Caenorhabditis elegans: one gene and its partners. The protein of the gene in region 4 purifies or fractionates together with the protein of the main gene of each other region. This does not show direct contact. Each region holds a gene or a part of one and is shown on either strand. Other genes may lie near its edges.

Region 1 (6,598 bases), on a different chromosome or scaffold from region 4:
CTCTTCTAAAATGGTTAATTTTATAGCTAGGCGACTCAAAATTTATCTCCAAACAATAAAAAATTGCCTTTTTTCAGAATATAGTGGTTTTGCACACTTTGAGAAAAATTATTTTTTTGCCCAAAATAAAAGAAAAAGGACAGTCATTAGATGGCCGAAAAAAAATTTTCAGAAAATCTAGGTATAACCCATCAAAAACTATTAAAAAATGGCAAAAATGGGCAATTTATGGCAAAAATTCACAACTTTGAAACACATCTAAAATGGGCAATTTTGAAGTTAGATGACTCTAAATTGATCTATAAAGACTAAAAAATTGTCCATTATCAGAATATAGTGGCTTTGAACATTTTCAGAAAACTTTTTTTTTTGCCCAAAATAAAAAAAGGACAGTCATTAGATGGCTGAAAAAAAATTGGGCAAAAATCAAAAGGTGAAAACGGGTAATTCATACACGCTGAATTCAGAAAATCTAGGTTTAACCCAAAAAAAAACTATTTAAAAGTGCCAAAAATGGTCAAAGCTTTTATTTTCCGATACAAAATTTGCTAAAAATTCCATCTAGAACACTTTCAGTGACAATTCCCTCGGTGAGCTCTCCGATTTGTTCCAAGGCAACTTCCAGATGTGAACACATGATTGCTGCGTCGTTACACGTTACAGCTGACTCCAATTCGAATGAGCATCTTCTGAAATTAAAACAACTTTGAATATTATTTTTTGACAAAAAAAAACCTTAACAGATCTGCATCTAGTAAATAACTTGCTTCAGGACACAGATCATCTACAATTTCTCCCAAACAGTTTTGAAGTTGTTTGCAGCCAGTATCTGTGGTAGCATTTGTAGATACAGTAGTGAAATTTGAGGGAAGTTTTGGATACTTCAGACTCAGATCAGACTTATTCTTTGCAATAATCACACGAGCTTCGCGATTTCGCATCACTTCCACGTCATTCAAAATCGATTCAACATCGTCATCCGACGTGAATTGTGGATCCACGACAACGCAGATAATGTCAGCTGATTGGATTCGTTTTTGAGCACGTCGAATACCTTCTGCCTCAATGACGTCATTAGTTTTTTGTCGAACTCCAGCAGTGTCTGTGAGACGGCATCGAACTCCGTTAATTTGAATGATTGTCTGTAAGATTTTCAATTAATGTTTGGAACATTTTCCAGGCACTCTAGGAGTACTGTAGGATTACCGTAGTTTTCGAAAAATTGACTTTTCGTCTTTTGAGCTACAAAATTGCCCGTTTTAGAGAAGATTCAAAATTGTGAATTTTTGCTATAAATTGGCCATTTTTGCCACTTTTTAATAGTTTTTGACGGGTTAAACCTAGATTTTCTGAATTCAACATACATAAATTACCCGTTTTCAACAAATTTAGACAACTTTTTATTTTTGCCCAAATTATTTTCAGCCATCTAATGACTGTCCTTTTTTTTTATTTTGGGCAAAAAAATAATTTTTCTGAAAATGTTTAAAACTACTATATTCTGAAAAAGGTCAATTTTTTTATAATCCTAAATCAATTTTGAGTCCTCTAGCTACAAAATTGCCCATTTTAGAGAAGATTCAAAATTGTGAATTTTTGCCATAAATCTGCCATTTTTGCCACTTTTTAAAAGTTTTTGACGGGTTAAACCTAGATTTTCTGAATTCAACATACATAAATTACCCGTTTTCAACAAATTTAGACAACTTTTTATTTTTGCCCAAACTATTTTCAGCCATCTAATGACTATCCTTTTTTTATTTTGGGCAAAAAAATAATTTCCCTAAAAATGTTCAAAACTATTATATTCTTAAAAAGGAAAATTTTTTTAATGTTTGCAGATCAATTTTGAGTCCTCTAGCTACAAAATTGCCCATTTTAGAAGAGTTTCAAAATTGTGAATTTTTACAAAAAATTGGAATTTTTGCCACTTTTTAAATTTCAAAATTGTGTGTTTTAGAGGAGTTTCAAAATTGATTGTTCAAGGGAACGTGGCTAGGGTACTGTAGTAGTACTGTAGGGAATACTGTAGGATTACTGTAGGGTTACTGTAGTTGGAGAAAAACTGGTTTTTCGTATTTTGAAGGGTTATTAGTTTGGTGTTAATAGGGGGATATGATTGGAGTACTGTAGTAGTATTGTAGGGAATACTGTAGGATTACTGTAGTTTTGGAAAAACTGATTTTAGTTTCAGAAAAAAAAATCGCAAAAGAAAATTTGATTGAAATTTTTTGGTTAATTTTTGAAAAATTTGAAAAATTTTAACACTTCAATAGGTTTATATGATCATTTTTACTTCCAAACTATCTCTCGTGGTTCCAGGAATCGAGCTAACAATTGCCACGTCATCATGCGCTAACTGATTTAAAATGCTTGATTTTCCGGAATTCGGTCTTCCATAGAGCACAATATCCAATCCACGTTGAGCCCGTTCTGCACCATCCCACGCTTTGATCATTCGATTGAGTTCATGAAGAATTTCAGAGACATCTTGTTGAGCTTCGCGTAATTCCAAGTTCACGTGTTCTCCAAAATCAATGATCACAAATAGTTTCGATAGAATTTGAATTAATTGCTTCCTGAAATTGAGAGTAAATGTCAGGGGTATGCGGCACGAAGTTTTTGTCGACAAATTCAGCAAATTGGCAAATTGCCGGTTTGCCGAAAATTTCAATTCCGGCAATTTTCCGATTTGCCGGAAATTTCCAATTCCGGCAAATTGTCGATTTATCGGTAATTTCAATTCCGGCAAGTTGCCGATTTCCCGGAAATTTCCATTCCAGAAATTTGTCGATTTGCCGGAAATTTCAATTCCAGCAATTTGCCGATTTGCCGGAAATTTCAATTCCAGCAATTTGCCGATTTGCCGGAAATTTCAATTCCAGCAATTTGCCGATTTGCCGGAAATTTCAATTCCAGCAATTTGCCGATTTGCCGGAAATTTCAATTCCAGCAATTTGCCGATTTGCCGGAAATTTCAATTCCAGCAATTTGCCGATTTGCCGGAAATTTCAATTCCAGCAATTTGCCGATTTGCCGGAAATTTCAATTCCAGCAATTTGCCGATTTGCCGGAAATTTCAATTCCAGCAATTTGCCGATTTGTCGGAAATTTCAATTCCAGCAATTTGCCGATTTGCCGGAAATTTCAATTCCAGCAATTTGCCGATTTGCCGGAAATTTCAATTCCAGCAATTTGCCGATTTGCCGGAAATTTCAATTCCAGCAATTTGCCGATTTGCCGGAAATTTCAATTCCAGCAATTTGCCGATTTGCCGGAAATTTCAATTCCAGCAATTTGCCGATTTGCCGGAAATTTCAATTCCAGCAATTTGCCGATTTGCCGGAAATTTCAATTCCAGCAATTTTCTGATTCGCCGGAAGTTTTCAATACCGACAAATTGTCGATTTGCCGGACATTTCTATTCCGGCAATTTGAAAAAATGTATTATTGAAAAGCTCGTACGATATCATAAGTTTTAATGAAATTTTTAAAAATCCCTATAAATCTTTTTTTTTCCTTTTTTTTTTAAGTTTTTTTTTCCAAAAATTCCAAATCTCGAGGGATTTTTTTGTTTTTTCAAATTGCTTGCGAACAATATAAAATTCCAATTTTTCTCACTTCAATACCTTATTTCAATAGCTCGAACTCCACCACGCATTTGACCAAATGCCGCATTTCGTTCTTTTTCGGTTCGAGATTTAATTAGCCGATCGATTCCTCGAACCTCGGAAATGCTCAATTTTCCGTTGTGAAATGCTCTGTAAATTAACTAAGAGTTATTATAGAGACCCAAAATGTGCATTTAAATGCATTCAAAATATTTTGAAACAGATGTGCAAGCGCGCTCAACTGCGGAAAGTTTGGAATTTTTATTCGGCGGCAAAACCAAAAACTCTAATGTTATTTTGTTTTCATGGTTAAATGAAAAATTAAAGCACTTTTGGACATTTTTTCAACATAAAATTAATTAATAAACGACAGGAAACATAACAAAAATAACGAAAACTTATTGAAAACGTTCGAAATTACGGTTTTGCAGCAGCCAAAACCTAGCGAGACCCAACTTTTAGCCGTGGAGCGCGTTTTAACCAGGGGTGGACGGCAAACAATTTTTCCGGCAAATTGGCAAATCGGCAAATCAGCAAATTGTCGGAATTGAAATTTCCGGCAAATCGGCAAATTGCCGGAATCGCCGAATTTGTCGAAAAAAATTTGCCGAACGGCAATTGCTGCCCATCCCTGGTTTGAACCCCGATTTTTGAAAATCGTATGCTAATAATAACCTCCTCGTGAATTCTCCTCGCTTCGCTTCTCGAACATTTTGAATTCCAGCCAAACATGAGGCAAACTTCACGGCCACGGCCTGACTTCCATGTAGAAAAAACTCGGCTGTGTCTTCTCCGGTAAACGTTTTCGGGCCGGGAAGATATACCGCCATTGCTTCATCGATGATTTTGCTCTCTGAATCGTACAATTTCGTGTATTTCATCGTTTTCGGCTTCCAAACTTTTCGACGGCTCAGCTGGCGGAGTACGGGGAGGCTTTGTGATCCTGGAAAAAATACTGTGAATACTGTGAACAGTAAGCTCAGAAAGCCTTTTTTTGGGGGGGGGGGGGGTTTCGCAAGAGCATCGTACGAATTTTTTCAGAGATTTTTATATTGTTTATGGCTATTTTGGCAGAAATTTTTTCAAAATGAACCATTCGTAACCTAATGGAATTTTTTTTTTCAATTGTTCTGAAAATTAACCTGAAACGCGGAACATCGCAATTGCGCTTGGCAATGTGCCAGACGATAGGGCGAAGATTGTCGACATTTTCTAAATGCCTGAAAAAATTATTCTTTTCCAATTAAAAAAAAATTTGATTACTCGAAAGGTTCTTTTTTTTAATTTCAAAATTTTCACGATCTTAAAAAAATGTTTGAAAATTTAATAAAAAACAGGATCCGTGACAATTTTTCTGGAAAGAAACCGAGATTTTATGAATATATAACTTAAATTTGAGAGAAAAAAGTTATTTATTAAGCATTCAAAAAAAACCCCGTAATTCGATATAATTCAAAACTAAAACAATTAATTATTAATTACACAAAATCTTAATTTCAATTGCTCTTCACATTTCTTCAAATCAGGAATAATCCATTTCGAATCACTCAAATACTTTAAAATCGTTGGTGGCAGAGGAGCTGTTTTGGGTGTCGGTGGTTTTTGTTGACTCGTTTTCAGGGTAAATCGACAGAGGTACTGTAGTGATGGTAGAAGCTCTCGTTTTGTGAGTGGACGTGTTAAATTGACACGCGCTGCTTCGGCTTCATGTCCACGTCGATAGTGGAGCATTTCTTGTTGTCCTGTTAGGGATTGCTGAAAAAAGTTTAGTGTTTTTTTCCGAAAAACTACGATTTTTTTTGATTTTTGAAACATTAAATTATTTTTTTGCTTGAAAAACTCAGTTTTTTTCGGATTTTTGAAAAAAAAACTAATTTCTGAAAAAACTGAACTATTTTCTTTCGGGAATGTGGTTTTTTTTGTGAACAAAAATGGTGATTTTTTAATTTTTTTCTGCAAAAAAGTGAATTTTTTTTAGAACAATCGATTATTTTTCTCGTGATTTTTTTTTGGTTTTTCGAAAAAAAAAGGATTTTTTCTCGATTTTATGAAAAAAAATGGTTGTATTGTGTTTGATTTGTTTTTCAATTTTAATTTTTAAAATTATGTTCCGAAAAATTTTTTTTTGATTAATACTCTTTTTTAATTTCTAATTTTGAGAAAAAAAGGACATACTTTCGGAAAATTTGAATTTTTTTAGTTTTCGAATTTTTTAAAAAGAAAAATAATTATTTTCACTTAAAAAAAATAGTTTTTTTCCGTTTTTCGGAAAAATAATTTGCTTTTAAAAAAATATATTTTCGATTTCCGGAAACATTTTGGGAAAATTTCGATTTTTTTTAACTCTTCGAAAAATATTTTCGACCTTTTTGGCCTGTCACAATTTTTTTTTAAAGTTTTACTCTTTTCCGATTTTTTTAAAATCAAAAATCATAGATATTTTTAAATGTACTACATACCTCTAAACTTCTCTCAATAATTTCCACAAGATTCCAATAGTCACGTGAGACGTATGGCTGCCGACTACCCAAATTCCGTCGTGAATCTTCAAGTGACAAGCGCGAATGATAGACTCTATCTGAAATTATATTTATTTGGAAAAAATTGATTTTTTGAAAAACAATACCTTGAAAATGATAAGAAACAGTGAAAAGATGAGTTTCACTTCGACTGTCTCGAATTAAAAAATATCCGATTGGGCACAAAAGGAGCAGCCGTTCTGCCCATTTCCAGTCCAAATCTCCCCAATACCTGGAATAAAATAGGCATATTTAAATCTTTTTTCAGTTATTTTATTGTTTACCAATCACAATCGTAAAGATCAGAACAAATCACCTTGTTGGAGGGCATAGGAGCATTGAAGGAAACTTTTGTTACTGAAAATAGTTTCAATCTTAACAAAATTAATTGAATTTTAAAATTGAAGATTGTCGATTTACGGAAGTCGTGTACTCCACGAGGAGAAGATTATGATCCGATTCTTTCCG
Region 2 (5,943 bases), on a different chromosome or scaffold from region 4:
AAATTCGAATTCTCCATCAAAAACTACCCCTGAACCCGGATTTTCAGAGCTCTAGTGCAAAATGTCGTCAAATCGGGTGTTTTGGGTTACTGTAGCGTGGTGTTTGCGAACTTGGCACCAGATTTGACGGGATTTTGCACAAAAATTCTGAAAATTGTGGGTAGGGGGTAATTTACCACGCGGAGTTCGAATTTGAGCTTAATTTTTCGAAATTCCCAGATTTGGGCCAAGTTTTCGGTTTAAATTTTAGAAATTTCAGCCAATAAGCTGATTATTTCCCAAAATTGCCTCCTCAATCGGATTCCACGTTGAAGATCACCAACTGCTGGTAAAAGCAAGGCACAAAGCAACTTTTTGAAATTTTGGGCCTGAAATGGCCTGAAATGGCCTGAAACGGCCTGAAGTTCAAGTTTTTCGAATATAGTCGATATGGGTGTTAAATCAACACATTTTTTGCGTAGAATTCAATTTTTTAAGTAAAACAGCTTAAAATTGAAGAGTTTTTGTGAAATTTGAAGAAACAAATTTTCGAAAAAAATAATTATTTTTCATTTTTTTAACAAAAAGAAGTGAGAAAAATAAATTAATAGTAATAGTTATCTTTATGATCTTTGATGTCTCCAGTCATTGGTTGATCCTCAATTGAGCACCAATCCCTACCCCTGACCACTCGAACATATCCCGACTCAGCCCAATCGCCTCCCCAGGAGTTCTTGATAATCCAGTAGTCGTGACTTCTTCCACGGCTATCCTCAACGGTATCGTAACCCACAATTGCTCCGGCATGCCATTGAGTAGCTCTTCTACAATCGTCCTCAATGATCACTCCTTCTTTATATTCTTTGAATTGATCGCCGACTTTGAAATCTGGAATTTTTTTTTTTAATTTCGAGTTTTTTCGAAAAACTTGGAGTTTCTGCAGGTTTTCAGCTAGATTTTTGAATTACACGTTAAATTTGCAAAATTTTAACACCCATATCGACTATATTTCGATAAGTTTGGGTTTTGGGCCAATTTCAGGCCGATTCTAGGCCAAAACAGGCCTGAAAAGAAAGTACTTCATATTCAGCAAAACTTTTGAGTTGGTTATTTAATTTTCAAAATTTTGGCACCGACATCGATTTCGATCGGCAAATTTCGAGTTTCGGGCCGGTTTTAGGCCGGTTTAGGGTAAAATTGGCCTTGAAATGAAATGTTCCAAATATTTTCAAGTTTTCAATTGAATGGTAAAATTGTGACACCAAAACAAAAGAATTTTGAGTATTGAGCCGATTTCAGGCCGAAATAGGCCTGAAACAGGTCTTAAAATATAATTTACTGAAATATAGCCAAAATACTTGGCTTTTAATTGAAATTTTTTTTTGGTACACTAACATGGGCTATAGACTGAAAATTTTGAGTTTCAGGCCGATTTTAGGCCAATTTTAGGCCGTTTCAGGCCCAAATTTCAAATTTCTCCAAATATAGCCAATATGGATGTCAAAACTTTGCAAATTTTTAGGAGATTTTGAATTTAATAATTTCAAAACTCCCGGATGTCCCATGTCCCCCAGTTGGTCCCGCCGACTTACAGACAGCTACTGGGACCTTCCACTCGGTGAGCACCTGGATGATTTGTTCTTCGGCTCGGCGTGGGTTGATTACGGCAAAGTTGAAGGCTCTCTGAACAAAATTTGGTAGAAAATTAAAAAATTTGATTCTAAAAAAAGTAAAAATTTTGAAAAAAAAATTTTTGAAAAAAAAATTTTTTTTTTTGGAATTTTTTCAAATTTTCAAATTTCCAACTCACAGCCGGCACAATTCTGTCAGTTTCTCTTAAACGACATCTTCTGCCCTGGTTAGCCCGATTTTGATCGTAAGGATAGTCTTCATCTCCAGAAAGCCCATATTTCTTGACGTACTGGACTCCGAGGGTCAAGCTTCCTCCCTTACATCCCGGTGTTCCTTCCGTACCGCAATCACAAACCTCTTGGTCAGATAGGGACTGAAAATATTCAAAAATTTACATAGAAATTCAAAAATTCAGTGAAATTCTGAAATTCTGCCAAGTTTAACTGAAAAATTTGAAACTACCGTAACTTTGCCAATTTTTAAGATTTTTTTTAGTTTCAAACTGAAAATTGCGCCTAATTATATGATCTGCTATATTTGTAGTAGTCAATCATGAAAAAATGTCAGTTTTGAGGTTGTAAATGCGCTCCAATGAGAATTCTTACAAATTCTGTTGATTTTGACTAGAAAATTTGAAACATCCGTAAATAGGTCAATTTTCAAGATTTTCTTATTTTTAAAAAAGAAACTAGTGAAATAACATGTGATCTACACTAAATACATTGAAAATTTGAAAAAAAAAATTAGTTTTGGGCTTGCCAATGCGTTTCAATAAGAATATTTCAAAATTTCTCATTTTTTGACCCAAATTTGTGAAAAATCGTATCTTGGCCAGTTTTCAAGATTTTCTTATTTTTCCAAAAGAAACTAGTAGAGAAACATGTGATCTACATTAACTATGCACAAAAAAATAAGAGAAAAGTTAGTTTAGGGGTTGTAAATGCGCTCCAATGAGAACTCCTCAAAACTCTGTGTATTTTGACTAGAAAATTTGAAACATCCGTAATTTGGCCAATTTTCAAGATTTTCCAAATTTAAAAAACGTGTACAATACCAATTTTTGCAAAGTTTAATATTAAAATAGTCAAAGTCTAATAAAATTTAGTGTAAAAGCAGTAAACGCACTCCGCTGAGAACCTACTGAAAATTCGTTCAACTTCGCTTTAAACACTTGAAACTAACGTAACTTTGCCATTTTTCAAAATGGAAAACATAGCAAAAAATGTGATCTACGATATATTTACAGAAAAATAGAATTAAATTTCAGGCTAGAGGGTGTAAATGCGCTCCAACGGCAATGTTTTCTGTTTTCAAAAAAAAATCGAAAAATTCGAGTTTTCACGCCAATTTTTCACCGATTTTCCTCGAACTTTCACAGTTTTCATTCAAATTTTTCAAATAATTGTTTTATTTTTACCTTAAACTTTCCAGAATGTGCTGCATACACAGTCTCCACCAGTGCGGTGACCGCGAATCCCCAGCAACACGCACATTGCCCCTGATCCTTGATCGGGCCCACAATGTATCGCCCGTTGATTTTCTCGTTTCTCAAGTCGAAATAGTCTGGATAGCGTGTTGATCTACGCTTATGGCGTGTTTTATTCATGTCGGCCGCGCGAAAATCCGGTTTTTTCTTGTCGAAGTTGAGCATTGGGAGCCCTGTATTGTTGCTGGGCACTACATTGGACAAACGGCCGTGGAATTCGGCGGTGGATAGGTCAGAAAACTTGTTAATGCCAAATTGGGTGTCATATCCGGCTGCTTTTGACTTTGCGTTTAATCTGAAAAAAATTGAAAAAAAACCGAAAAAAAAAAATTTTTTTGAAATTTTTTTTCGAAATTTTTTATTCAAAAATTTCATTTTTAAACTCAAATTTAAAACATTTTCATTATGAAATTCGAAATCTACGCCTCAAATTACCCCTGTCCCGAAATTTTCAACGCTTTAGTGCAATTTTGCGTCAAATCTGGTGTTTTTGGTTACTGTAGCCTAGTGTTTGTGGACCTTACACCCAATTTGACGGAATTTTGCGCTAAATTTTTGAAAAACGGGGTTAGTGGTTATTTGCTACGTAGAATCCGAATTTCGACTCGAAATTTGAAAATTCTGAAGTTTGGGCCATGTTTTTTTTCACTTACTTATCGACATTGTTGTAGGATTTTACGAAATTATTGAATCTCTGCTGATTCTCCGACTCGTCCTTGTATTTTCGGTTGTACCTGTGAAAAATTATGTTTTTTTTCTCAAAAGTGGCTTAAAACGGCAACAATAAGATTTCTGAAAAATTTTAATAGAAATGTTCAATTATTTCTGAAAATCGAAATTTCAACACTTCAAAACCATTTTTTTTTTGAAAAATTATGTAAAAATTCGAATTCTCCACCCAAAATTACCCCTGCACCCTATTTTTCAACAATTTCGTGCGAAATGTCGTCAAATCCGGTGTTTTGGGTTACTGTAGCCTGGTGTTTGCGTACCCGGCACCCGATTTGACGGGATTTTGCACTAAAATTCTGAAAACTCAGGCGTAGGGGTTATTTGCTATGGGGAATCCGAATTTTTAATTGATTTTTCAAAATTTTGAAGTTTGGGCCAAGTTTTCGTTATTAAAAAAACTCACTTTTTTTTAAAATCCTCAAAAGCCTTGTAGAGCTTCTCCGGATGGTCCCGATCGATATTAATTTCAAAAAATTCGGGTTCTGTAATATTGATGGAAACTACCCCTGAAATGGGTAGAACCACCAGGAAAATCACGAAAACTTGCATTTTCGCGGCGAAATTTTGATTGCCTCGGGCTACGGTTGGCTTTTAAGCTTCCGAGTTTTATGGCCGAAATCGTAAAATTTTCCACTTTTTCGGGGGAAAAAGTTGGAAAGATCGGGGTGATTCTGCACATTTCGACATCGAATTTGTTGGGGTTCTTTTATAGATTTTTGGTGTTGACAGGGGGTTGAAAAATTAATTTATGAGCAAGTTATTGAAAATTTTGATTTTTTTCAAGCCTTGTTACATGAAAATTTGGAATCTTCATAAAATTTCCGTTTATTTGACCCCCATATTGGCTATATTCGAGGAAATTTGAATTTCAGACCAGTTTTAGGCCGTTTCGGGCTTTTTGGAGCCCAAATATCAATACACTCAGTTTAATGCCAGTGCGTTTGTAGTAATTTGCCAACTTGTATAAGGAACTACTAAATTGGTTATGTTTGCGGAAAATTGAATTTCAGACCAGTTTTAGGACAGTTCAGGCCGTTCTAGGCTTGAAAACAAATATTGACGGGTATATGTCGATAATTTCAGCAAACGTTTTTGAAAAATTTGAAACTGTGAAATAAAAGTTATTTAAAGGAAAGTTTTGTATTTCAGGCCATTTTCAGGCTCCGGGCCGTTTTTTGCCCAAAATTTCAAAGTTTGTAGAACATAGCCAATATGGGTTTCAAAACTAGGCAAATTTCATGAAGAACACGAATTTTGAGTTCATATTTCTCAAAATTTTACCGGGTGTCCCCGAATGTCCCATAGGTGTCCCATAAGTGTCCCACTCGTGGTTTTCAGGCTATATTTGTCAGAAGTTGCTCTTTTTTTACAGAAACACTTGCATAGATGTAGTTAAGCGTTTATATTGCAAATTAAAACATGAAAAATGGTTTAATTTTGAACGGTTCAAATATTTTTCCAAAAAAAATTTTTTTTTTAATGTACATGGCAATATTTTTTATATCATTTTTATGGATTTGACATTTACATCGGCTATATTTCAAGAAACTGGGCTTGTCGAAATGATTTGGACCGATTCGGGCCGTTTCAGGCCGTTTCAGGCCTGAATTTCTAGATTTTCTGGAACTGCGTTTTCACTTTTAGGTTTTTCTTATTACTGCAAAATTTCTACACTTACCTTGACCTAAATTCGTGGTGCTCATATTTCAAGTCTAGAACGGCCTGAAATGGCCTGAAATTGGCCTGAAATTCAACATTTCATTGTTATGCAAGTTAAATCAAAAGGCTGAAAATTATCTTGAAGTTTTAGGTGAAGAAAATCTATTTTTCAATAAATTTTGAGTTTCGGGCCAGTTTCAGGCCGTTCTGGGCCGTTTTTTGGCCAAAACGTCCAAATGTTCAGAGTATAATCAATATGGGTGTTAAAATTTTGCAAATTTTATGAAGAACACGAATTTTACATTTTTATTGTTTAAAATGTCCCCTGGTGTCCCCGAATGTCCCATAGGTGTCCCATAAGTGTCCCTCTCATGGTTTTAGGCTATATTTGTCAGAATTTGCTCATTTTTTTTACAGAAACACTTTAAAAATTGTAATTAAACGTTTATTTTATG
Region 3 (5,852 bases), on a different chromosome or scaffold from region 4:
AAATGCTTGGTGTTTATTCCACAAAGTGCGAAAGGTGGTTCTTTGGCCGCGACCGACACTATTCGGGTCGTGGTGCAAGGCAGGCAGAGGTCGCCGCAAGGCGGGCGCGGCAGGCGTTCAGGCGCCTACAGGGAAGCCCTAGCAGGCTCAAAAACTTTTTGGAATCTGGTCACTGGTTTTCGTGAAGCTTCTATGTATACATGAGGTTTTCTAAAGTCTGGAAAACAGCAAAAAAGTGTAGAAAAGTACGTGGGAAAATGTCAATTTTTTCTGAGAAAAAGGAGTTTTAACAAAATGATCTAGACCAGAGGTGGGAAAATATTTGATAGTATGTTGCGAGACTGCGAATGATTTGAAAGTTCAACAAGTGTCTAAGTTGCTAAAATTATCAAAAACTTTTACAAAAGTTAAATTTGAAGAGCTAAATTTTAAGAATGACAAATTTGGCAACTTCCAAAGTTGCCGGAAACTTCAAAAACTGGTAGTTTATTCCAAAATAGCTATGTAGCACAAAATTTCAGGAGAAGATATTTATTGGGTTGTGCAAAATCGAATTATATTTGAAAAATGTAAACAAAAAGGTCACTTGTAAGAAAATCGAATTAATAAGCATTGGAAGCAGCAACTGGAGCCGGCGTGGCCGCTGGTGGAGCATCATTGGCGGCTCCCCAAGTTGGAGCAGCAGTTGGAGCACCTCCCCAGGTTGGTGGAGCAGCTGGAGCAGCTCCCCATGATGTTGATGGAGCAGCTGGAGCAGCTCCCCATGATGTTGATGGAGCAGTATTCTCGGATTGCCAGAGGTCAACGAGTGGCTGGGAGGCTGACATTGGTGGGGACTGAGCAGCTACTGGTTGTGGCTGGACGAAGGCGTTGGCGTTGTTGTTGTAGCCAGTTGGTGGGGATTGAGCAGCATTGTTGTTGTAGGATGGGTTCTGGAAGAAAATTGAATTGCATAATAAATTTTCCCTCAAAGTTTTGAAATATGAGCTTCAAAATAACCTAAAAAACATTGAAAAATATCAAAAACTGGCAAAGTTAGGGGTTTTCAGAAATTGAAAAAAAAATTTCTTAGGAAATTTTCTTTAAAACTCAGTGGTACATAGGCTAAATTATCGATTTTTTTTTTGCAAAATTCAATAAAATCCCGATGAAATTTTCAGTTTGAGAAGATTTTTGGAGAGAATTTCAAAATTTTTGGAAAATTCGTAGCTTTTTCAGTTTTTGAGAGTTTTTGGTGATTTTTGTGTCAAATTGAAGCTAAACTTTTATATTTTTTAGGAAAAAATAATTTTTAATTTAATATCGTCTTAGAAAGGTTCAAAAACATGAAAAATTCCTCTCAAATTCCTTATTTTTCGAATTTCAAAATTTTGAGATTTTTCGAAAATCCATAGCATTCTTAGTTTTTGAGACTTTTGGATAAGTTTTGTGGCAAATTGAATATAAATTTTAAAATTTTACAAAAATTCATGTTTGGAGTGATGTATTCAGTAAAATAGCTGAAAAAAGTAGGCCTAATGCCAAATTCTCAAACTTTGGAATTTTCTAAAATTTTTCAAAAATCCAAAACTTTTTCAGTTTTTGAGATTTTTTAGTGAATTTAGTGTTAAATTAAAGCGGAAGTTTCAATTTTTATGGAAAAAACTAGTCTGAACGCTGAAAAACCATATTTTCTTCAAAACTAGACGCTTGAACTCGTCATATGGCTTAAATTTAGGGCTTCAAACTTCGAAATTCGGAGATTTTTTGAACATTCTCAACTTTCTTAGTTTTCAAGATTTTCTAGAGATTTTTGGGCCAAATTAAAGCTGAATTGTTAAATGTTGTAGTGAAATTGTTTTAGTTATATAAAAACTAAATTGTGGTAAAAACCAAAAAGAAAGTCATTGGTCCAAAATTAAAAGTTTTGTTAATTCTGACAGAAATTTGAAAATCTATAACTTTTTCAGTGTATGAGATTTTTCAGTGATTTTTTTGCCAAATTTAAAGTAAATTTTGAAATTATTTAAAAAGGATTAATTTTAAATTTTCAAAAAATTTACTGTCTTCAAAACTAGACTTTTAGACTCGTAGGCCAAAATCTTCAAATATCGAAATTCCGCGGTTTTTTGAAAATTTATAACTTCCTCATTTTTCAACATTTTTTTTGTAATTTTTGAGCCAGATTAAAGCAAAATCACTGAATTCCCAACAAAAAAAAATAGTCCTTAAAATATTCCCCACCTGAGCAGCTGGAGAGGATCTTGGAGCACAGCACACGCACTTGACATTCTTATGATATTTCTTTGGCTCCCAGTTGGCCTCTGACAAGTAGGTAGAGTCAACCTTATGGAATCTTCCACGTCCATGTTTTCCGTCCTTCTCATCAGAATCCGAATCATTATCATCATCATCATCAGCTCCTCTCTTGGATCTCTTGAATGTCTCATCATCATCATCCTTGGTAATAGCCAAGAATCCGAAGAGTTGATCGTTGGGAAGGGAAGTGTCACGACGGGCGGTCTGTTGGCAGCAGAAGTTACAGGAATCTTCATCATGGGTAGCAACTTCGGAGCACTTTACACGAACGGCACGATTAGCTGGGACGGATGGGGCTCCACCGTAGTATGGCTGTGGGTGGCGATGATGGCGGCGGACAGAGTCGACGACGAGGAGCACGGAGGCGTCGAGGTCGCATACGAAGCCTGTAAATATTTTTCATCTTAAAATTCAAAATTTCAGCTTCAATTTAACTTAAAAACTGATAAAATATCTCAAAAACTGGAAAAGTTGTAGATTTTCGAAAATTTTAGAAAAAAACCATTTTAGTTAATTTGACAAAAAAAATTCCTGACTCAAATCAGTTTGTTCTACAGAATTTTAAAAAATTGGCTCTAATTTTACAATAAATTCAATAAAAAATCTCGAAAACTAAAAAAGTTATGAATTTTCGAAAATGTTCAAAAATCTATTATATAACTTTCTCAATTTTCGAGATATTGGGATGGTTTTTGTGGTATTTTGAGGGTAAATTTTTGAATTTTCAAGAAAAATTAGTTTTCGATAAAAATTGTCGAAAAAATTTAATAGCAATAAAATTTGACTCTTCCAAAAAAAAAAGTCCAAAATTTCAAAAATTTTTGAAAATCTATAACTTTCTCAATTTTTGAGATTTTGGGATGGTTTTTGTGTCATTTTAAGGGTAAATTTTTGAATTTTGTATAAAAAATAATGGAAGCTATCGTAACCTAGGAAAAGTGTGTTTTCTACCGAATTTCAATTTCTTTCAAAATATAAAATTTAAGCTTCAATTTGGCATTAAACTCAATGAAATTTTTTGAAAATTGTAGCTTTTTTGAAATTCTGCACCAACTAGATTAAATTTAATCTAAATAAATACTACAGTAACGCAGTTAATTTTGCCAAAAAATTTAAAAAAAATTAATCTTTAATTTGACATAAAAATCAAACAATTATCTCAAAAACTGGAAAAGTTACAGGTTTTCAAACATTTTCAAAAATTCTAATTCTGATAAATTGGCCTAAGTTCTACAGATTTTTTGAAAAAAAAAAACAGTATTTTTGCAACAAAATTTGAAGAACTAGCTTAATTTTGATTTAAAAATTATTGAAAAATCTCGAAAACTGAGAAATTTATGAATTTTTCAAAATTTTTCGAAAATTTGAAAATTGACAAAACTACCTATGAATAAGTCAATTTTTTGATGATTCCCAAAAAATGTTACATTTTTGAAATAAGTTGGCTATTGCGGTTCAAACAAGTATAATCATAACTAGGTCTACGCAAATGCGCTCTATTGCCAAATTACTATAGCTCTTAAAATTTGAATTTTCACGAACTCACGATCTTGAATAAGTGGCTGCCAGTATCCTGGTCCGAATGCTGGGTATCCATATCCTCCTCCATTTCCATAACCTCCTCCTCCATACGATGGACGACCGCCGTAGCGACCAGCAGCGGCCTCTGACTTGACCTCTTCGGTGGGTGTTGGCTGCAGAAAATGTTTCAGATTATCCTAAAATTGCGGAAATCCAAAAAAACCATATACCTTTGCACCGAGGACGGCGGCCAGCGAGGCGACTGTGAGAAGAAGAACGGTTTTCATTTCTGAAAAGCGATCGAATGATGGATTTGTCGGCGGAGCCATGCTTTTATAGTTCGGGGGGAACATGGGATGGGCTCCGCCTACAGAAAAAAAAATCAAGAGGAAAAGCTTGAGGAAGATGAAAGTAGAAATGTCTGAGTTGATGGAACGGGGAAAAAAGAGGAAACATTGAAAAGATGATCGATAGATTTGCACCATATCTCGGCTAATTTTCAAGATATCAAAAAAATTGTAACTAGACAGTTATAGAAAAAGTAATAATAAATAACTTGCCAGTTGATAATTTTTTGATAAAACCAAAGGCTACGAAGATATGAACTGTTAAAGTTGATCAGTAAATTTTTCATCGATGCACCAAAAAGAAGGGAATCTGAAGCATAAATAATGCATGTAAAACCTACTGCCAAAATTTTACAATAAAACTACTCTCAATGCACCATAATCAGCATTTTTGTTCAGCAGCTCGTATCCCTCTTATGTATTTTTATAAATATCAATTTATTACAAAACTTTGTAAAACTATGTAATGCATATTTTACGTGTTTGCAATTTGCTCATTGATATGTAAATTGTTGAAATTTTATTGGCAAATCCATAGAGAAATCCATTAGGAACACTATAAATCACTCCAAAGCTTTCAATTCACAAGGAAAGGAAGTCAATCTAGTCCCGGACTTTGAATCAGGACATATGCCTTTGAAAGCTTATGTTTAGACTAGATCACCAAAAAAATTTCAGCGGCGGAACTCAACTCTGAACCCCTGAAAGCGCCATCTGAAAGTGCTCCAGTGCATTTTTTTGCTGAATTCTAGGTCAAGTAAATGGCCTTAAAAGTGGCTAGAGCGGTTAAAAATTGTTTTTGGGGGTCTTTAGGGTCAAACAAACAGTGTGGAAGCTTTTTGGAAATTTTTATTTTTTTCCAAAAATCTGAAATTTTTGCGGTGATCTAGGCTAACCATAAGCTTTCAAATGACATACGTCTCGATTCGAAGTCCGGGACTAGATTAACTTACTTTCCTTGTCAGACAAATTTTTCACATAATACGTTAATTATCTATTTCATGCCCAAATTCCAGGTATTTGCACATTTCTCCATTCTCATTCAATTGCACTTTCACCCATCACGAGTTGCTCCATATGAAATCATCTGAAATGTCTGAAATTCCAAGCCCACTCAATCATCCCATTTCTCATATAACATGTTGCAATCAGGTGGGCGGCGGCTGCGGCCGGCAGGAAAAAGAGCCCAGCGGAATGTGTGATGGATTGAGCAGCGAAGAAAAAAGAAAATGGAAAAGCTGAAAAAAATAGTCGGTCGAAAAAAAAGTGACCTAAGGATGTGTTGCAACATGTGTCTGAGATCCAGCGGGGTTCAAAGAACTAATTTGTGTATCTTTTAGCAAAGTGTATTTTGAGAAAATCAACACATTTTGAACTAGAACACTGTAGAAAAACTGTTAAGGAACATTTTTCCAGTTGATCAAGTCCGAGTGATTCACCATGTATTGGAGCCTTTTGACTTGTTGGCTCAGTTACCACAGCTGTGAGATTTAATTCCAGGTTCCGTAGCAAACATTTTTGCGCTCCAAACCTTTTTGTTTTTTATCCAACGCCTAACGTTTTCCCCTCAAACTACAATGCCGAGTTCCCGCCTCCATATCTCTGGCGGATCTCAAGTATAAAAGCGGCGAAGCATCTTGGCTCCGATCATCATCATGTTTTCCACCACTTGGATCGTCGCGTCTC
Region 4 (3,427 bases):
TGATGAAGCTTGTGCGGACCCGTCTCTACAAGTATGATTCGAAGTCGAGGTTTATAACTCTAGAATCTAGACTAAAACCTGAAACACGGTTGTTCTGAAAAGTATCGTCTTACCGTATCCGACCCTCGCTTCCAAGACGGCCACTTTATAAGACATTATGCTCGTCCTTTTTTACCCTTCCAAACTTCCAAAAACGATTCAGTTTTTTGTCCAAAATTCCAAAAACGGATTTTTTCGGTTTTTTCGGTTTCGGATTTTTTGGAATTTCGGAATTTTGAAACTTTCGGAATTTTGGAATTTTGGAATTTTTTTGAATTTTTGGAATTTTCTGTAATTCGGATTTTTCGGATTTTTGGAATTTTGGAATTTTTGGAATTTTGGAATTTCGGAATTTTGGAATTTTAGGATTTTTTTCAAATTTGAAAACTTGAAAATTTTAAAACTATGGAATTTTTAAAATCTGAAAAAAAAAACTGAACCGGCGAAAACGCGGAAACACAACCCGGCTAATTCGGCAAACGGCAAATTCGTTAAATTCGTTCACTTTTATTAAATCGAAAAAAAAAATGATCAAAACAGAAAATAAAAAATTAGAAAGTCGTCGTCGTCCATCGTCCCGATCCATCCCGAAGCCATCCATCCCGAACGTCCTGATCCCTCCACCATATTGTTGCAAAACAGTTTTCAGCATCTGTAAAAACTTGAAGTTTAGTACTTGTCATCAAAACATCAAACAAATTCCTTACAAGTTTGGATTATATCCTGTCTTATTTCCATCCATCCTTCCTTCCTACCATCCATCCTTTATTGTTTGCTTGATCTGTAAAAAGTTGCATTCTAGTTGAAGCTAAATGAAGAAAAGATCACTTACCAGTCCATCCCGATCGTCGTAGATCCATTCACCCATCCGACCCATCGTCGTCGTCGTCCATCGTTCCGATCCATCCCGAAGCCATCATCTCTCTCGATCGATCCTTCCATCCATCCATCCTAATCGTTCGTCGTCGTTGTTGCCTCGTCCATCCATCCATCGATCGAATCCATTCATGCAACTTCAAGTGATGTTCTGTACCGTTAGAACTGTGCAGCATCACCCATTACAGTTTACCTATGTGACAAGAACCGTCCGATAAGCCTCGTCTGTTTGACGCTATTTCCAGTCTCCTTGTTCTTTTTTCGCAGGAGTTCGCATTTCCCATTAAGAGATTAATCAGTTTCACTGCCTCTGAGTACGGTACAAGATTTGTTTGTTTCCAAACAAATCAACTCAGGGGGGTAGCAGTGAATCCGAAAATGCAGCCCTTGCCTGCTACTTTGAACCCGGTTCAGAAATTGGACAGTGACAGATTCAAGCAAACCAGTTCAGTTCAAGCCAGGTAAACGTAATGGGGACGCTACACTCACAAGAAGGAGCAAGATGGATTCACTTACTCCCGATCCGCCCCGAATTTGTTCATCCTTTGTCGTCGTCGTTTTGTCCCAAATCCCTTTCGATCGTCCAAATCCATCCACCCATCCTTATTGTTTGTCGTCGTCGTCGTCTCGTCCCGATCCATTCATCCTGATCGGCCTGCCCATTCCAGTCCATGTCCAGTCCAGAATTTGTTCAATCACAGCTTTCAACATCTGTAAAAGTTCTTAGTTTAAATGACCTACCATCCATCCTTCTTCGTTTGCTAGAGATCTGTAAAAGGTTACATGTCAGCTGTCCATCTCCATCTCGACCTGTCCCGGAACTATCCATTCCGATCGTCGTCGATCCATCCATCCATCCGATCCTTTGTCGTCGTCGTCCATCGTCCCGATCCATCCCGAATCCACCCATCGTGATCGTCTTGCCCATCCCATCCACTGCCCAGAATTTGTTCCATCACAGCTTTCAGCATCTGTAAACGTTTTCAGTTTAGATGCAGCATCAAACGAATTCCTTACACTTTGGATTTTCTATTTCCATTGTTCCAACCATCCATCCTTTAATCATTATCGATTGCTTGAGATCTTCAAAAAGTTACATGTTAATTGAAGCTAAAAGGAGAGAGGATCACTTACCAATCCATCCCGATTGTCTTCGATCTATCCACCCATCCGATCCATCGTCGGCGTCGTCGTCGTCGCCCTGATTCATCCCGAAGCCATCCATCCCGATCGTCCTGATCCTTCCATCCATTGTCCACCATGTTGTTCCTGGAAGCATTTATGTTTTTTGACAAATCAACTCAGGTGATAGCAGTGAAACCGAAAATGCAGCTTTTGCCTGTTACTTTTGAACCCGGTTCAGAACACTCACAAGAAGGAACATTTGTCCATCCGTCGTCGTCGTCGTCATTTCGTCCCGATCCATCCCGAATCTATCTCGATCTTCCTGACCTTTCCATCCATTGGCCGGCGGTTTGGTTCATCACAGCTTTCATTACAGCATCTTTAAAAACTTGTAGTTTAAGCATTTAAAAAATGCCTAACAAATTAGGATTGTTTCGTTCCTTTTTCCCATCCATCCTTCCTACCAACCATCATCGTTCCTACCATCCATCATCGTCGTTAGCCTGAGATCTGTAAAAAGTTACATTTTACTTGAAGCTAAAAGGAGAATGTTTCTTACATGTTTTTTTCCGCCGAATCCTGTTCCAACCGTTCCATCCCGATCGTCGTCGACCCATCCACCTATCCGATTCTTCGTCGTCGTCGTCCCTTGTCCCCATCCATCAATCGCAATCGTCCTGATCCTTCCATTCATTGCCCATCATCTTGTCTCATCACAGCCTTCAGCATCTGTAAAAATTTGCAGTTTAGTTAAAAAATCAAAAAAAAATTCCTTACAAATTTGGATGTTTTCCTTCCTTTTTCCATCCTTCCATCCTTCTTGCATCGTCGTTTGATTGAGGTCTGTAAAAAATACATTGAAGCTAAAAAGATAATATGTCTTGAAAAAAAATAAGGAAAGCATATTGGCTGACTCACTTAAACCAGTTGATTCAAGACAGGTAATTGTTATGGAGACGAGATGGGAGAGGAAATCTTTCCAGAGTCCAGAAATAGGCAAGAAATCAAGAAAATTCAAGAAATAGCTTTTTTCGGTAAATATTTCAGGTCAGAATCAAAAATAAATGCAATTTTGTTGAGATGAAAATGTTTTTATTAACAAGGAAAGGTTTTCATTTCACCGTCAGACTTCAAAGCAAGAGACAGGTGTCATTTAATAATGTTCCATAGAATATGTTACTGCAAAGTTTTGAGCGGCAAAGCTCTACTTCAAAAATATCGATCTAAAACTATCTCAGGCCATTTTTGCACTTCTTTGGAGACCTGTATAATTTTTTCGAAAAATTTTTAATTAAAAAAAACTCCGGATTGAAGAAAATTTCAGAATTTTTCCTAGAAACCAAAATTTTCCGATACTCTGCCAGAATGTTCGTCTACTTTTCGAAAA

What was found.
Region 1: the proteins of R09A8.9 (region 4) and mtcu-1 fractionate together in Caenorhabditis elegans (co-fractionation; one large-scale study listed by BioGRID). This does not show direct contact.
Region 2: the proteins of R09A8.9 (region 4) and Y51A2D.8 fractionate together in Caenorhabditis elegans (co-fractionation; one large-scale study listed by BioGRID). This does not show direct contact.
Region 3: the proteins of R09A8.9 (region 4) and perm-4 fractionate together in Caenorhabditis elegans (co-fractionation; one large-scale study listed by BioGRID). This does not show direct contact.

The regions. Positions count from the first base shown.
Region 1 is NC_003279.8:14,770,177-14,776,774, forward strand, and holds mtcu-1 (TrmE-type G domain-containing protein), read right to left. Parts: upstream 4,832-6,598; 5' UTR 4,821-4,831; coding exon 4,754-4,820; intron 4,555-4,753; coding exon 4,287-4,554; intron 3,762-4,286; coding exon 3,630-3,761; intron 2,580-3,629; coding exon 2,297-2,579; intron 1,143-2,296; coding exon 736-1,142; intron 690-735; coding exon 527-689; 3' UTR 513-526; downstream 1-512. Other genes in the region: F39B2.5 (SH2 domain-containing protein), read right to left, coding at 5,079-5,366, 6,071-6,189, 6,238-6,362, 6,415-6,461.
Region 2 is NC_003283.11:18,549,469-18,555,411, forward strand, and holds Y51A2D.8 (Cysteine proteinase), read right to left. Parts: upstream 4,383-5,943; 5' UTR 4,379-4,382; coding exon 4,233-4,378; intron 3,832-4,232; coding exon 3,751-3,831; intron 3,393-3,750; coding exon 3,029-3,392; intron 1,985-3,028; coding exon 1,790-1,984; intron 1,663-1,789; coding exon 1,572-1,662; intron 868-1,571; coding exon 584-867; 3' UTR 535-583; downstream 1-534.
Region 3 is NC_003282.8:1,120,980-1,126,831, forward strand, and holds perm-4 (PERMeable eggshell), read right to left. Parts: upstream 4,129-5,852; 5' UTR 4,107-4,128; coding exon 4,050-4,106; intron 3,993-4,049; coding exon 3,845-3,992; intron 2,685-3,844; coding exon 2,224-2,684; intron 933-2,223; coding exon 603-932; 3' UTR 515-602; downstream 1-514. Other genes in the region: perm-2 (uncharacterized protein), read left to right, coding at 5,822-5,852.
Region 4 is NC_003284.9:12,602,335-12,605,761, reverse strand, and holds R09A8.9 (GH10 domain-containing protein), read right to left. Parts: upstream 1,702-3,427; 5' UTR 1,699-1,701; intron 1,627-1,698; 5' UTR 872-1,626; intron 821-871; 5' UTR 802-820; coding exon 747-801; intron 692-746; coding exon 591-691; 3' UTR 531-590; downstream 1-530. Other genes in the region: T24D5.6 (uncharacterized protein), read right to left, coding at 1,702-1,886, 1,933-1,998, 2,050-2,140.